Diceros bicornis minor: one gene and its partner. The protein of the gene in region 1 interacts with the protein of each later gene in a pairwise test. Links are inferred from orthologs where the notes say so. Each region holds a gene or a part of one and is shown in the gene's direction. Other genes may lie near its edges.

The links.
Region 2: the proteins of TBL1XR1 (region 1) and ARL2 interact in binary tests that used the Homo sapiens proteins (3 or more experiments, as listed by UniProt). The two-hybrid records come from large-scale screens. The link is inferred for Diceros bicornis minor from reciprocal best matches to the Homo sapiens genes TBL1XR1 and ARL2.

The regions. Positions count from the first base shown.
Region 1 is NC_080754.1:45,361,401-45,368,595, forward strand, and holds the start of TBL1XR1 (F-box-like/WD repeat-containing protein TBL1XR1), read left to right. Parts: upstream 1-4,078; 5' UTR 4,079-4,121; intron 4,122-7,195. UniProt on the Homo sapiens protein: F-box-like protein involved in the recruitment of the ubiquitin/19S proteasome complex to nuclear receptor-regulated transcription units. Plays an essential role in transcription activation mediated by nuclear receptors.
Region 2 is NC_080770.1:8,120,494-8,128,040, reverse strand, and holds the start of ARL2 (ADP-ribosylation factor-like protein 2), read left to right. Parts: upstream 1-4,514; 5' UTR 4,515-4,565; coding exon 4,566-4,630; intron 4,631-7,547. Other genes in the region: BATF2 (basic leucine zipper transcriptional factor ATF-like 2), read right to left, coding at 446-552. UniProt on the Homo sapiens protein: Small GTP-binding protein which cycles between an inactive GDP-bound and an active GTP-bound form, and the rate of cycling is regulated by guanine nucleotide exchange factors (GEF) and GTPase-activating proteins (GAP).

The DNA.
Region 1 (7,195 bases):
AGGCCTTGAGTGCTGCCCTGAGGAAGCACACGGCTGGTCAATAGAAGTAAGTACTTGGTACAGCACTATGCTCTGTGTGTGGGTGGTTTTCTGTGCTGACTGAATCACAAAGGCAGAATCCAACCTGCTATTTCCATTATCTGAAAGGCATAAATACTTGTAAGATGGTTGTGTGTTGCTTTTGTAATTTAAATGAAAACTCCCAAGTAAAGTTCATTGTGGTAATGAAATCGGGTCACAGAGTCATGGAAAACTGTGACAAGGTTCACACTGATGAGGAAAGGTCAGAAGTCACACACTAAGCACAGAGGGAGAAAAGGAGATCTCAATGTGCTGAGATCTTAAGATGTGTGGCCGAGATCTGCATCAGTCCGGATGGCAAAAGCTGATAGCTGGAAGAACCACAGACAAAGAATTGCACAAGTTGAGTCAAAACGAAACAGAAACGTATCACATGGTATCAGCAAGACGCTTGGGGGCACACACTGCAGACGTAAAGCCACTGAGTTCCTGGGTGAGTAAAGAATATACAAAGAGTTATAGTGTCGGGATAATATTTTTGGTATCAAATATCTTTTTCATGCTTTTAAGTTGGTTTTGAACATTTTAATTACATAGATCAGCTAATGCAAACAACATAAAACATCATGGTGGCTTTAAAAATATATATAGTAATGAGATCCTATAACCTGGGATTAAGCCACCTTAACTTTAAAATGTTCTATTTCCCGAGTGATGAAAGTTGCAAAAGTATAGGCTATCTTGCCATACCACACCCCCTGGGTGTAATATTACTGAAATAAAACAAGTCAAGATTTGTTTAGTCATTTTATAATATATATATAAAGTCTGGTAACAGTTACTGGTATGAGGTTTCTCTTTGTTGAGTAATTAGCTAGAAAGTTCAAGAGAACTTTCTTAATGTGCCTCTGCTTTAAAATTTCTTAGTAACAGAGTAATTTCTCCTTTCTAGAAACATATTAACATTTATATTCAAAGCATAAGGACAGCTTTTAGATTAGGACAAAGCACTGAAAACTGGTAACAATAATTAACTTTGTCCTTACATTACTCCTGTGTCTAATTATTGCTTGAATTGTATAAAGTGAGGCCTCTGATCTTGTATACTAGATAAGTTGGAATGGCTAGAGGGTGGGGTAGCAATACATGTGAACTTTGTATGGTGGCTCATCTATCTGAGGATTTCATGTTGCAGCCACGCTGTCATTTCAGAGTTTCCAGAATATAGAAATTGAAGTGATCAAAATATGATCTCACTTAATACCCCTTGGTTGGGAGAATCAAGGCTTTTCCACATTTAGTGCTTTTTTTGTCCAAAGGTACTTCAAGTCTATCTTTAGCGAGCATGGCGGATGAGGTGCATTTTACTGGAACTAGTTTACGGCAAAGCTCCCCACCTTTGGTGATTTTTATCATGGTATTTAAATGAAGTAATTTATGCACAGAAACATCTTATAACTACAAGGATGTAAACAAACGCATGGATTATGATTATCATTACGATAACAAGAACTCCTGCTAGGACGGGAGGCAGCTTGGTGTAGGGTATAAGAACTTCAGGGTGGAAGCCCTGGACCCTATGAACCTGAAGGAGGATGGGCTCTCCCTTGGAGATGGAGTGATAGAGATCATTTTGAGGGATGATAAGTTGGGGGCCCCAAGTTTGGAGATGACCCTATTAACTAGGGTCGGTGTAGTTTGGAAATCCTCATTCACTGGAAAAGTGGTTTGATTTTACAGCAGCCGGTGCTGAGAAGACCCATGTGTGGTGGCCAAAAACAAGCTAGGCCAATCGATTTGTCTCACTGGGTGGCTCAGATAATGAAGCCTAATTGTACTGAGATAGTTTGCTTATTGAAGAGAAGATTATGTTTAGTAACATACATATGTCATTAATCAATACTTAAAAACATTTAAAAAAAATAGGAAGGTACTATACCCTCATCACTTCGGAAATGGTCTTTGCAAAGGTGCGAGCTCTGCAGTAAGCCTTAGCTTAGAACGTCACTGAAATGCAAAACTTGCTCTCTTTGTGCTGTTTGCCCGAACACTCAACACAGTGTTTTGGAAACCGGCAGTTATCTAAATTCCCATTGGGTGACATTGTTTAATCTAACATTCCCTCTTTCATATATTAAAATAGCTCTGAGGACGAACTACTGAGATGCTGTGAACTCTCTTCTGGTGGTTGTGAGGGAGTTTCCAATCCCACTCCCTTTCCTCTGATGGTTTTCCTGCTCCCTCTCAGGAAAGGCTTCTGGCTGCTCCCCCTCCCCGCCAAGTAAGGGCTCATCAGGGGAAATAGCCTTTGACCTTGGCCAAAAAAGCACCTGTCTAGTCACTGAGCTTATTAGGCCACCCGGAGTCCAGATGTGTGAAAGATACTTCGAATGAACTTTTTTTTGGTGTGAAAATTTAGGTCTCTGATATTGAGAGGAAAAGACTATTGCTTTAAAATAGTGACTACGTCTATTTCCAAATATTGTGATGAAAGCATGAAAACAGAACCCCTCATCTAAAAAGGCTGCAAAAAATATTATTGTACTTTGAATTCACCAATAACTGAAAATAACAACAAAAAAGTTCTCTTTTAGGTCAAATCTTTAAAAGGACAGCTGCTTTTTATGTTCTAGGCTTATACAAAGATCTAAGACTCCCAACCCCTGCTTTCTGAGGGCCTCGGAAAGATAAACACATTCGTTTTAAGAACTGTGAGGTGCATCCCTTTTTTAAAACACCCCTCTGCCCTCCCTTCCTTCATTATATTGACACATTATCACTCATCTAAGTTATACTTTACAAACTGCCTTGATGTGCTACACACATGCAAAAAGTACACAAAGTGGATAAACTTCTACTGTCGATGCTGCCGTAGAGGTATATATTTAGTAAACATTTAGTTACATTATTTTATTTTTGTGAAATGAGAACTGATCGACCAAACCTTTCAAGCAGACCCACCAGACGATAAATACCACCATATGTTTGATTCACAGTACATTTGGGCATAAACACTTCAATTACAGCTTTGTGTTTAGCATCAAAACCCTTTTCTTGCGTGTGTGTGTTTTCTCTCCAGATCCCGTGCTCCGGATTACATTGTGAAAATCGCTGCTTACAGATAAAGCACCTCTCCAGGTACGCTTCCGAGAAACATATGTATTTATGCACACAAAGGTGTGTGCAGAGCTTTGTACAAACACAGGTCCATATGATGCCTGCGCCGCGCTTCCACACATGCCCACCGCGGGGGTGTGCCCAGCCGGCCCCGCCGCGCCGCCGGGGTGCCCGCGGGGACTGGCGGCCCCCGGACCCGCAGGAGCCCCGCCGACCGCCCCGCCCCCAGCGGGCCGCGCGGCCCACACCCAAACGACTCCGCACCCGGCCGCGCGGCGGTGGGGGCGGGGCGGCCAGTGCCCCGGCGGCGCCGCGAAGCGCCTGCGGGTCTTTCTTTATTTTTAAAAGCCTGCGCCGCACCCGCCCAGCCCCCCGCGCCGCCGCGGCGGGCGCAGGGAGAGGAGCGAGGCCGGCGGAGCCCCCCCCGCCGCGCCGCCGCCTCCCCGCGGCCGCGCGCCCCTCCCCCGCCGGCCCCTCCCCCGCGCGCCCGCCCGGCGCAGGCCGCTCGGGTTTGTTTTGCTGCGCGGCCGTCGCCGCCGCGGGCCTCGCGAGCTCATTTGTGCCTGGCTGGTCCCCATTCCTCTCTCCCCAGTGTTGAGTGTCTGAGCCGTTGGCTGCTCCGAACCGTTTGGCTCTTTCCCTTAGTAACAGCTTTTACCTTCTGCCTCAATTCCTCTCCCCGCTCGCGCCCTTCCCCCGCGCGCCGCCTCCCCCCGCCGCCGGCCGCGTGCGCCCCCGCCCCTCCCCCCGCGGCGGGAGCACCTCCGCTCGCCACCTGGGGACCCGCGCCGCGCTCCCCGCCCCCGCCCGCCCGGCGCCCATCCCCCGCGCCCTCCGCTCGCCGGGGTTATAATTGCCTCTCACCCCCCGGAGGGGTTATTTTGGGGGTGGTTGGAGGAGGCGGCGGCGGCGGCGAGGAGGGGAATTTCCTTGTGCCTCCATTCCCGGGAGGGGGGAGCGGCGTCGGAGGCCACCGTTTCCAGGTAAGCGCTGGGGGCCGGACCCCGGGGTGGGGGCTGCCGCGGGCCGGGGCGGGGGGCGCAGGCTGCGGCGGCAGCCGGGGGGCGCCGGGCCGCGGGGGGATGGGCGCCAGTGGAACCTGCATTTTTCGACTTGGCCCTTTGGAGAGCTGGGGCTGGGGTGGGGGAGGGGAAGGAAGGGAAGGCGTTTGGGGTACTCCACCCCCCCTTTTCCTCTCTCGGGCTTCTTTGAAATGCTCACGTGCCTGCCCACCCCCTACCCTTTTTTGGTCTCGGGGGATCCTCACCCTTAGGATGTTGTGGTCCCCGAAAATGTGCACCTCGGCCTTCTTCCCTTCTTCCACCCTTCGTGCATTTACACCCCCTTTTTCCGTGTGTGTATATGTGGGGGGAGGCTTTCAGGGAAGAATTTGCAGCAAATTGAATCAAGGAGCCATCATGAGGCCGACTCCTTTATAGCCTATTTTTAGCGGAGGAGAGGGCTCTTTTCGGTGCATGTTATTCTGTGAAACCTCAGGCAGCAATGGAAACAGGCTCCCCTCCGCGGGCGCGTCCCCGGCCCGGGCGCGGCGACCCCGGCCGGCGTGCAGGGGGCTGCGGGCGGCTGTTGGGGCCGCGCGGGCCGGGCGGGGGCGCCGGCGGGGGAGGGGCGCGCGGCCGCGGGGCCGCACTCCCGGGCGTGTTTATTTCCAACTTAGTGCTTTTTACCGTCTTAAGGAGGCATTTGATAGAACCTCTTTGAAGTTGGGTTCAGAAGTGTAGAATTGGTAAAGTTATTGCCAGCTTCCTGGTAAGTTTTGGGTCGCACAGTCACATTATTTTCTGACAGTGTAAAGGCCACGTTGTGAAGGGTGGTTTCTCGGTAACTTCCTCTTTGCAACCGATGTCAGTTTTTGAACAGAAGCAGACTTTTATTCCAGTGAAATTATTAATCTTAAATGGCAGCTCGAGGGAAGCCATGCATGTGTTAACATGTTCAGTATTTTTGGAAGTTCCTAATTTGCTGAAACAGGCTTCACTTTGCAGTGGCAACCGAGATTAAATTCAGGTTGTGAAAATGGTGTGTTTCATGTAAAATTTGGGTTGTGATGGCTCTTGAAAAATGCTCCTCTTGCTAGGTTTTCTAATAATAGTCTCTAAAGTAATTTGGTGATTACAAATGACAAGTGTTGGAACCTAGTTAAAAACTAGATTTTCTCAGTCTCTGGAGTTTACATAAAACCTTGGACTGTGCAGACACCAAGGTGAACAGTTTTAGTACCTATGTGATTTACAGTTGACTTAGGGGAAGTTTACTCTTGGTTTTCTTGTTTTCCAAACAAGAACCTTATGCTAATATAAACAAGCTTGTTAATTAAATATGGTGGGTGAAATGATGGGTTATTTTTAGTCTAAATGGTTTATTTTCCCTTCCTCCGGGCCACCCATGTAAGCAATCATCTTCCTCCCCCTTTTTTCCTAAAGGCTCCTTTATCAGATTGGGTAACATAATGCCCTCGTGGTGTTTTTATCGACTTCCCTAAAACAAATTGTAATTAATAGCCTGATTGCCTATTGAAGAGACAGTGAGTGACTTTTTTGGCTTTCCCAGTGTGGTTCATTTTCGTTTTTGTTAAATGAGACCTGTGCTACATTGGTGTGTTTTAGTAATCCTGACTTCCTGGGACTGTATGTTCTCACCATTTTAATAAGTTTATAGTTTGGGGAAATAGGGCAGCGTTGTCTCCATGAAAACGTCTTCATGAAACGTATGTCACGTTGTATCATGGGAGTTCATGCAAGCTTTGGAAATTATCATTGAGGGTTCTAGAAATAGTTAGCATTTATGGGTGGAGGAGGGGCAGCAGAAAGAAAATATGCCTGAGAGTGGTCAGGCATGTGATGCATGTTTATACTTTTTGCTCTTAAATTGAGGTTTTCCTGCTTGTTTGGAATATGATTTTTTTTCCAGTTCTGCTGTCATGCACTGTGTGATGTATGTAATCACAACCATTAAATCCTTGAATAACTACTATTTTTTTTTTTTTGCTATTTGAATAGTTAGAATCACACCTCTAGGGCAAAATACTAAACTGTGTGGGGGATGAAGACAGTGTGTCCATGGAAAAAGTTTTTCTTACTGTTAAGAAACTTGTCAATGGCTTAAAAATTGTTGCAAAGCTCAGCGTCAGTTGCTGCCAATACACACCAGCTTTCGTTATTAATGTGGGAGACACCGTGGTCAATGAAGAGGCCCCTTGTGGAGGTTGTATTTTTTGCATTGGTTGCTTCCAGGAAGTGTTAAACATTGTGATAACTTTTTACATGTGTCCAGGAATCTTTTTGTTACTTGTGTTCTCAGCATCTAATTGAGGTTTATTGTGATACATGCCTACTAAGAGAACAAAAAGTAACTGCTTCCTGTGTGCTGGGAGCCTTTGTAGCTAATACGTAGAAAGGGCAGGAGCTTAATATAAACATTGGGGTTACTGATCAAGAAATCTGACTAATAGACCTTTTGAATGACAACCTGTTGAATAAATACATCTGTTCATATGTAGCAATGAAATGTAACTACAGCCTTGTCAAATGAGTAGCTGACAAAGGAATCCTTCTGCAATTTACTACAGCGGTATTACTACAAAGGATTTGTGACTTGACACATTTTAATAAAGTTAGGAGAAATAGTTTGTTGGGTTTCTTCAGTTTCTGTTTGTTTATATAAAAAGAATTGAGAGGAATGTGGATGGTAGTCAGTGGAGATGGCAGAAGTATTGGCACTGCCTAGGACTTTGTATTTTTCTAGTACATGTGAATTTGACTCACTTCACAAATAACATTTACAGTATAAGTCACTGAAATGCGAAAAAAGAAAGCAGCTAACATCAAGACATTTATACATCCCCGTAGTCCAGAAGGACTAGGACCCCGGGGCTGTGTAGTAAAGAATTGATGAGTGTGGTCCAGTTTGGAGACCACTCTGGTAGTATCTTCTGCTCTGTCAACAACAGAAACTTGAATTTAAAAAAAAAGGCTGTGTGAGAGAGCTGATGCTGGAGAGGTTTGCTGTTTACAGCCTCTGGGATTGGATTCTGGAA
Region 2 (7,547 bases), on another chromosome or scaffold:
ATGTGCAACTATGACATACAACTATCTACTGGGCCTTTGGGGAAAAACGAGGAGGAGGATTGGCAATAGATGTTAGCTCAGAGCCGGTCTTCCTCAGCAAAAAGAGGAGGATTGGCATGGATGTTAGCTCAGGGCTGATCTTCCTCACCTAAAAAAAAAAATTTTTTTTGAGACATTGGACATTTGAGTGAAGAACTGAAGAGAGGGAGATGCCAGGGAGGTAAGGGTTAGGGGCGGTGGGAATAGGCAGGCCTGGTGGGTTGGAGGATTGGTAAGGGGAGGGGGAGGAGGAGGTGATTGGGGGCAGAGTGCCTGGGGTGGGGGTGGGGGGCATTCACGTAGGCCACTGGAGACCTGGGGCTCTAACTCTGAAAGATACAGGACAGTGGAAGGCTCTGAGCAGAGGCTGCTGCAGCTGTCTAGGTGACGGGAGGCCCTGGCTCACCTGTCAGGTGGAGATAAGAGTGGTACCTGGCTCTCAGGTTGCTGAGTGAAGGCCCAGCAACTCCTCCTCCTGATTCCCCAGCCAGGACCTGTGGAGACAAGAAGCATCGGCACAGCCGTGCCTTTGAGGACGGCACAGGTACAGGTGAGGTGGACGTGGGTGCAGTTGTTGGAAGAGCTCAGATTTTCGAGTCGTTCCCCACTCCTAAGGTTCTAGAAAGGTCTGAGGATGTCAGGTGCCCGTGGGTGGCTGGCAGGGGTGTGAGTAACAGCTTATTTTGCCATCTGGAAGTTGGAGAGAATACCTCCTCTGCCTCCCACGCGAGGCAGCTGGGCTGAGACCTGTTACAAAGATGCTAGAACACTCTGATACCATCTGAGGCATTCAGCTATGGCTTGCACGGTGGACACACCCACTGGGGACAGGGCCACCCTTGGATACTTAACGCCTACAGGAAGATAGGAGGCGAGATTTTTAGAGCAGGCCAGGGCCAAACTGTGGTCTATAGGCATCTGCCATTTCAGTGATTAGGTTTCATTCAACCTTCCAGTTCTTTGTTTACTAATTAGTAGGACAAAACCTACACTTGGGTATGCTGCCACCAAGTGCTGGTTTGTGCTTCTGTCATGTGCATGTGGTCCAAAAATTAAACTTGTATCACAGATGTGTCTCACCAGAGAAAAACGGGATTTCTCTTATCAAAACTGTAACTGTAAACAACCTCATATAAACATTATAGTTTAAAACAATCAGATAGAAAATGCATCTAGAACAAGTTTAAAATATTTATATACACAAATAAACACTTGGGTATACTTCTTGCTAATGCTCAATGATCAGCAATTATAATTTAAGCAAGGTCTTCCCCCCCGGCTTTTGTTGTTGTTGTTCCAGAATAAAAAGAGTTTTGTTATTTTTCCTTTATGATTATAAAGGTGATACACGAAGTGGAATGGCTGGATCAAACAGGCTCTACCTCTTAAAATTAAAACGATAATGCCAAATTTTCCTCCCCAGACATTGGGAAATCATGCCTTTTAAAAAGCCATCTTGGGCCGGCCCCGTGGCTTAGCGGTTAAGTGCACACGCTCCGCTGCTGGCAACCCGGGGTTCGGATCCCGGGCGCGCACCGCTTCTCCGGCCATGCTGGGGCCGCGTCCCACATACAGCAACTGGAAGGATATGCAGCTATGACATACAACTATCTACTGTGGTTTTGGGGGGAAAAAATAAATAAATAAAATCTTTAAAGATCAAATTTCATTAAAAAAAAAAAAAAGCCGTCTAGAACCCCATCCTCAAGCTACAATCCATTTACTTAGTCCCAAGAAACTCTCCCTTCAAAAGCAGGTTTCACAGCTGTCAGGATTTGGGTATTTTAATTTCATGATTCTTTCTTGTGAATATATATATTCACAGTTATATGTAACTACAGCTCTATACATCTTCTTGCCCAGTTTTCCTCCAAAGGTATTCCCCATAGATTTTATTTCCTTAAGAGCACTCTTTCCTCCTTTCCACAAGGCAAATGAAAATACGCCTGTCGCTAGGGCCTCACACTTGTCTTTAAAAGCCCCCACCCCACCCAGCCCCCTGATTTCTAGCTACTGGCAATCATTCTTCAAAAGTTAAATACAGGGGCCAGCCCGGTGGCATAGCAGTTAAGTGCATGCGTTCCACTTCGGCGGCCCAGGGTTCGCAGGTTCGGACACCGGGTGCGCACCGATGCACCGCCTGTCAAGCCATGCTGTGGTAGCATCCCATATAAAGTAGAGGAGAATGGGCACGGATGTTAGCCCAGGGCCAATCTTCCTCAGCAAAAAAAAAAAAAAAAAAAGAGGAGGATTGGCAACAGATGTTAGCTCAGGGCTAATCTTCCTCACACACACAAAAAAAAGTTAAATACAGTTACTTCCTGGTCTACTGTTTCAGAGCTTCCAGGTTGTTTTTTTAATTGATATTCATTGTAACCCCACTATGTGGCCCCTGGGAAGCTACAAGGGCAGCTTGGACATGGCAGGGCTTTAACCCTGGCATTGAAACAAGGATTTTAGTGCTAATGGCAGCAGTAAAGTAAAACAATCCAGAAGTGCTTCAGGTAATCATTTTAAGTTTCCCTCAAACCAACTCCAGAGTTAACAGTGGAATTGCTCTGATTTTCACACTTTGTGACTGTGCCTCTCAGAAGTACACACATCCATATAAATATCTGAAACAGACGGTTCAACAAATACCACTTATCTTTACTTCATGGGCAAAGGCAGCAATGTTTTCTGTTCCGTTCATTCTATTTAAATTTTGCTCATGCTACTAGGTTGAACCATACGAAACTGGTATCTTTGTAGTCAAAACGGTCGAATATGGGTGATTTCATATGGTTCAACGTATTTGTGACACCAAAGTAATTTCACAATCTACCTAATGGGCTGCATCCTATAGTTTGAAAAACATTCTTTAGTGGGTTATTGTTATTTTAAAATTGAAATTCGCCTTTTTTACTTAACATGGCACGGACATCTTTCCATGCAGGTGCATTAACACTCCTCCTCACCTTTCTCCAAGCTTCATGGAATTCACCACACATGCATACCCCAAGCAGGGTAACTGATCCCCACTGAAGGCACTTCAATTTTTTCCAGTTTCTTGCTATTCCACACCATGCCACAGAGAACTTCCTTGTCATAAATGTTCACTTGCTGGTGCTAGAATTTCTGTAGCAGAGACTCATGGAGATAGGACGGCAGGCACACTGTGATCTCAGTTGTGTCTTAAAGCCTTTGAATAGGAGTTACGCCCACTTTGTTCCCTTGGGTGTGCTTGGTGGAGGGTAAATAGTGCTGTCCCAGGGGGCCCAGCCAGGCACCCCGTTCTGTCCAGCCCTCCCTTGTCCACAACCTTCTTCTGCAGGATGGGAAGGTCCAGACCACTCCAGATCTCTCCCTCTCCAGACCAACACCATGGAGGGACCAGGAAACGCAGTGCACTTGACTGTCGACCAGACCTGAGTTTAAATCGCTGCCCAAGCTCCTTAAACTCTGACTCCACTATCACATCTACAAAAAGGAAATAAACCTCTCAGGGTTGCCAGGGGGATGAAGTAGAAAGCACGGAGTGCTTTGTAAACAACTACACAGAAGTTAGCCGTTATCTTCAGCCGGTGCCTGACTGTTCTTTCCCACGCATCAGACAAAGCCTACTCTGGGCTGCCTACTCATATTTATCTTGTAGAGGGCTGGAAGGAGGGCTCAAAACAAGACAACAAAGCTCACCCTTCTGAGTTTACAATCTGCCTAGTCCCTTGCCTCAGTTTCCTCACTTTTTCTGGACTTGAGCGCCAAGGTAAAGAACCAAACTCTTGGACAACGTCATTCATTCAACAACAAACCACCTACTATATGCCAGTCGCTGTGCTAAGCGCCCGGTGAGCCTCAATTTTCTCAGTGGCAAAATGAATCGTGCTTCTCAACAGAGAAACGATGGGCATCTCGGGCAGGCCAATTCTTTGTGCGGGTCTGTCCTCTGCCCTCTAAAGGACAGGGACTCTACCTTGCCATTGGGACAACCCAATGACGCCCCTGCACAAACGGCCCCTGGGAGGCATTTTCGCCCTCGATGGAGAACCCTCGGCCCACCGTCTCCCATCTGAGGAGCCAGGGAAAGGGGGAGGCCCAAGATGCGCAGGATCTGGACCACGTTTCCGGGGCACAGAGCCCTATGCTGGCCCCAGGATGAGCTGGTCAACATCCTTGGGGCTCTCGGTTCTGACTCCTGAGTTAGAATTTCTCTCTTTGCAGGCAAGATACAACCCAGGAAACTTCAGGTTTCCATTCCCGGTTGAGTCTGGGATCCTGCTGCGGAGGAATGGCGGTGCCCTCGTCCCCTAAGCCCTCGGGATGTGAAGGGTTAACGCAGGTGGCCGCGCAGAAGCCCCCAGCACCGCTAGAGGGACCGCCGCAGCGGCACCGCCGGGCGACTTCGCGGTCACGTGGGGGAGAGGGCGGGACCAAGCAAGAGGCCGACCAATCGGCTGAGCTGCCGGTGGGAGTGCTAGCCAATAGGAGCAAGGAGAGGGGTCCCGGGACTAGAAAGAAACGGCGGCCGAGAGGGGGCTACCGCGACCATGGGGCTTCTGACCATTCTGAAGAAGATGAAGCAGAAAGAGCGGGAGCTGCGGTTGCTGATGCTGTATCCTCCCGGACGCCGCAGCCGCGGGGGTAGCGAGGGCCCCGCCGGGCGGGCGGTGCCAGGCGCCCCCTACCGGGCGCGGGGGCCACGGCCGGCCGGCCCGTACCAACTGCCCAGTGTGCGTCACGCACGTGGGCCCTACCAACCGCTCCTGGCGGGGGGCCGGAAGGGGGCCGTACCACTGGCTCGGGCGGGGGGTCTCCGTTCCCAAGGCCAAGGGTGTGGGCCTGAAGGCCCGCAGTGTAGGGGGGAGGTGGGGCCCGGAGGTGACCCGGACGCCACTGCCCGTCCGTCTGGCCCGAGGAGGGGCCGGTATCCTCCCCGGCTCTGACCTCCTCCCCTCTGTCTGAGGGGGGCCAAGCCCGGCCCCGCCCTCAAGGTCGGAATCCCTGGGGCGTTTGGAACCCGCCCTCCGCCCGGGGGCAGGCGGGTGTGGACTCCGCGGGTCGTTTCGACCGTGGATCGAACTGTCCCTCTCATTGCTGCCGCTCGGCCCGTCGGTGTCCCCGCGGCTGGCGGCCTGTAGGCCCGGGGCCCCGCCGACCTTCTGAGTCCCATTACCAGGCGTCCGCACTGGTTCGCCCTACTCTGTGAGGGACCCGTGGGGGCTCTGCGATCTGAGAGCTGGGCGGGCCTGACCCCGAGCTCCCCTAGCAGGGGAAGGGAGACATTTATGTGCGCAAATAAGTTAAAATAATAGTCACATCGTGTCTTAAAGAGCTCCCAGAAAGGCACAGAATTCACTTATCCGATCAATATTGAGCGCTTACTATGTGCTAGGCGCTGCCCTAGGTGCTGGGGGAAACAGCAAAATAAAAAAATCCTACCTTCATGGACGTTCTATGATGCTGGGGGGAGAAAGATATTAACAAAGCAAATGAGTAAAATATATAGTATGTATGGAATAGAATGCAGTCTAAATAAGCTGGTTAAAGAAGGCCACATTGAGTAAGTGACAGTTGATTAAAACAGAGAGGTGAGGGATGAACCATGTAGGTATGTGGGGAAGATTGTTTAAGCAAAGGGAACAGCACAGGCAAAGGCCTCGAAGGAGGAGCTCAACTGGTGTGTTCAAAGGGACGTCAAGGAGGGCAATGTGGCTGGAGAGAATGGGCAAGGAGAATACTAGAAGATTAGGACAGAGAGGTGGTGGAAGAACCACCTCCTGTAGGGCCTTGTGGTTCATGGCTTTTTCTTTAAGTGCAGTGCAGAGGGGAGGTGTGATCTGAGACCAGCTAGGCCCTTGCTCTAACCCAGGAGAGACAGCCTGGTGGCTTGGGCCAGGATGGAAGCAGTGAGGTGATGGAAGCTGGGGGACATTTTGACAGTAGGGCCCCCAGGAATTACTGCTGGATTGGCTGGGAGTGTGAGAGGGAGAATGAAATCAAGCCTGACTCCTAGGGTTCTGCCCTGAGCAATTAGAAAAAGAGGAGCCACTTGCTGAGATGGCTCCTCTGAGACATCCTAGAAATGTCAGATAGGCAGCTGGATGTAGGGACTGATGTCCAGGGGAGCAGCTGGGTGGGACGTATAAATTTGGGTGTCATCAGCATAAAGATGGTGTATGAAGCCGTGATCCTGGGTGAGAGCACTGAGGATGAGTGTGGACAGAGAAGGGAACCCAGGCTTACCTGGATCAAGAGGTCAGGGAGATGAGGATGGGTGATTTGGGAGGCAGGTGTACAGGCAAGGGCATGTCCTGGAGCAGAGGAAGGGGCAGGCCGCTGTCTCACGTGCTGCTGATGGAGCAGGAAGACGAGGGGTGAGGACTGCCCGGCCACGGGAGGGCTACGTGCGGGTCTTTAGGGGCTGACCTCAGTGAGAGCAATTTCCAGGAAGCAGTGGGAGCCTCACGGGTTCAAGAAAGGGCAAGAGGACAGAAATTGAGAGGGCGAGTATGGACAACGGTTTTTTGTTTTTTTTTTATAATTTTATTTATTTATTTATTTTTCTCCCCAAAGCCCCAGTAGATAGTTGTATGTCATAGCTGCACATCCTTCTAGTTGCTGTATGTGGGACGCGGCCTCAGCATGGCCAGACAAGCGGTGCGCCGGTGTGCGCCTGGGATCCGAACCCAGGCCGCCAGCAGCGGAGCGCGCACACTTAACCACGGGGCCAGCCCTGGACAACGGTTTTGAAGAGATTTGATATAAGGGGAAGGAAATAGAGGAATAAGTAGGGGGGAGAGGGATCAAGGGAGGGTATTGTTTGCTTCTTCTAAGGTGGAGAGACCCCAGCTTCTCAGCTGATGGGAATGATCCAGCAGAGAAGGAAACGTGGATGATGGGGTTGGGGGTGAGGAGATAATCTGGGGCTGAGGCTGGGTCTCATGAGAGGTTCTCTCTCACCCCCATTTCACTGGTTTGAGTCACTCACCCAGGTCAAGTGAGCAGAAAGGCTGCAGAGGCCAGGGCCTGGGTCCCCCTCCCAGCTGCAAGCCCCCTTAAGTGTTGGAAGGAAAGAGGAGGTGGTTCTCTCCAGCTGGTGAACTTACCCATTCGTTTGCACACTCATTCAGCAGCAAAGGGTTTGGAATATTCCAGAAACAGGTGACGGTGGCTGCCACCAGATACTTGGTTGTGCTGTTCCCTCTGCCTAGAATGCTCTTCCCTCAGTCCTTCAAAAAGCTGGCTTCTTGTAGTTTGCCTCAGCTCAAGACCCTCAGAGAGGTGCCCGAGCTAAAGGAAGCTCCCTGATGGCCGTCTCCAAAAGCTTCTTCGTTGTATCTCTGAAGTTTCCCCAGATCCAACAGGACCTGTTTCCCATTTGTTTGCACTCTACCAACTGTCTCTGCACGAGAGTGTAAGCTGCACAAGGGAGAGGGCTTTTACTCTGGGTTTCCCCTGCACAGAAGAGGGCCTTGCATATAGGAGATATTCAATAAATATTGTGAAATGAATTAAGGAGCCTTTGGTCA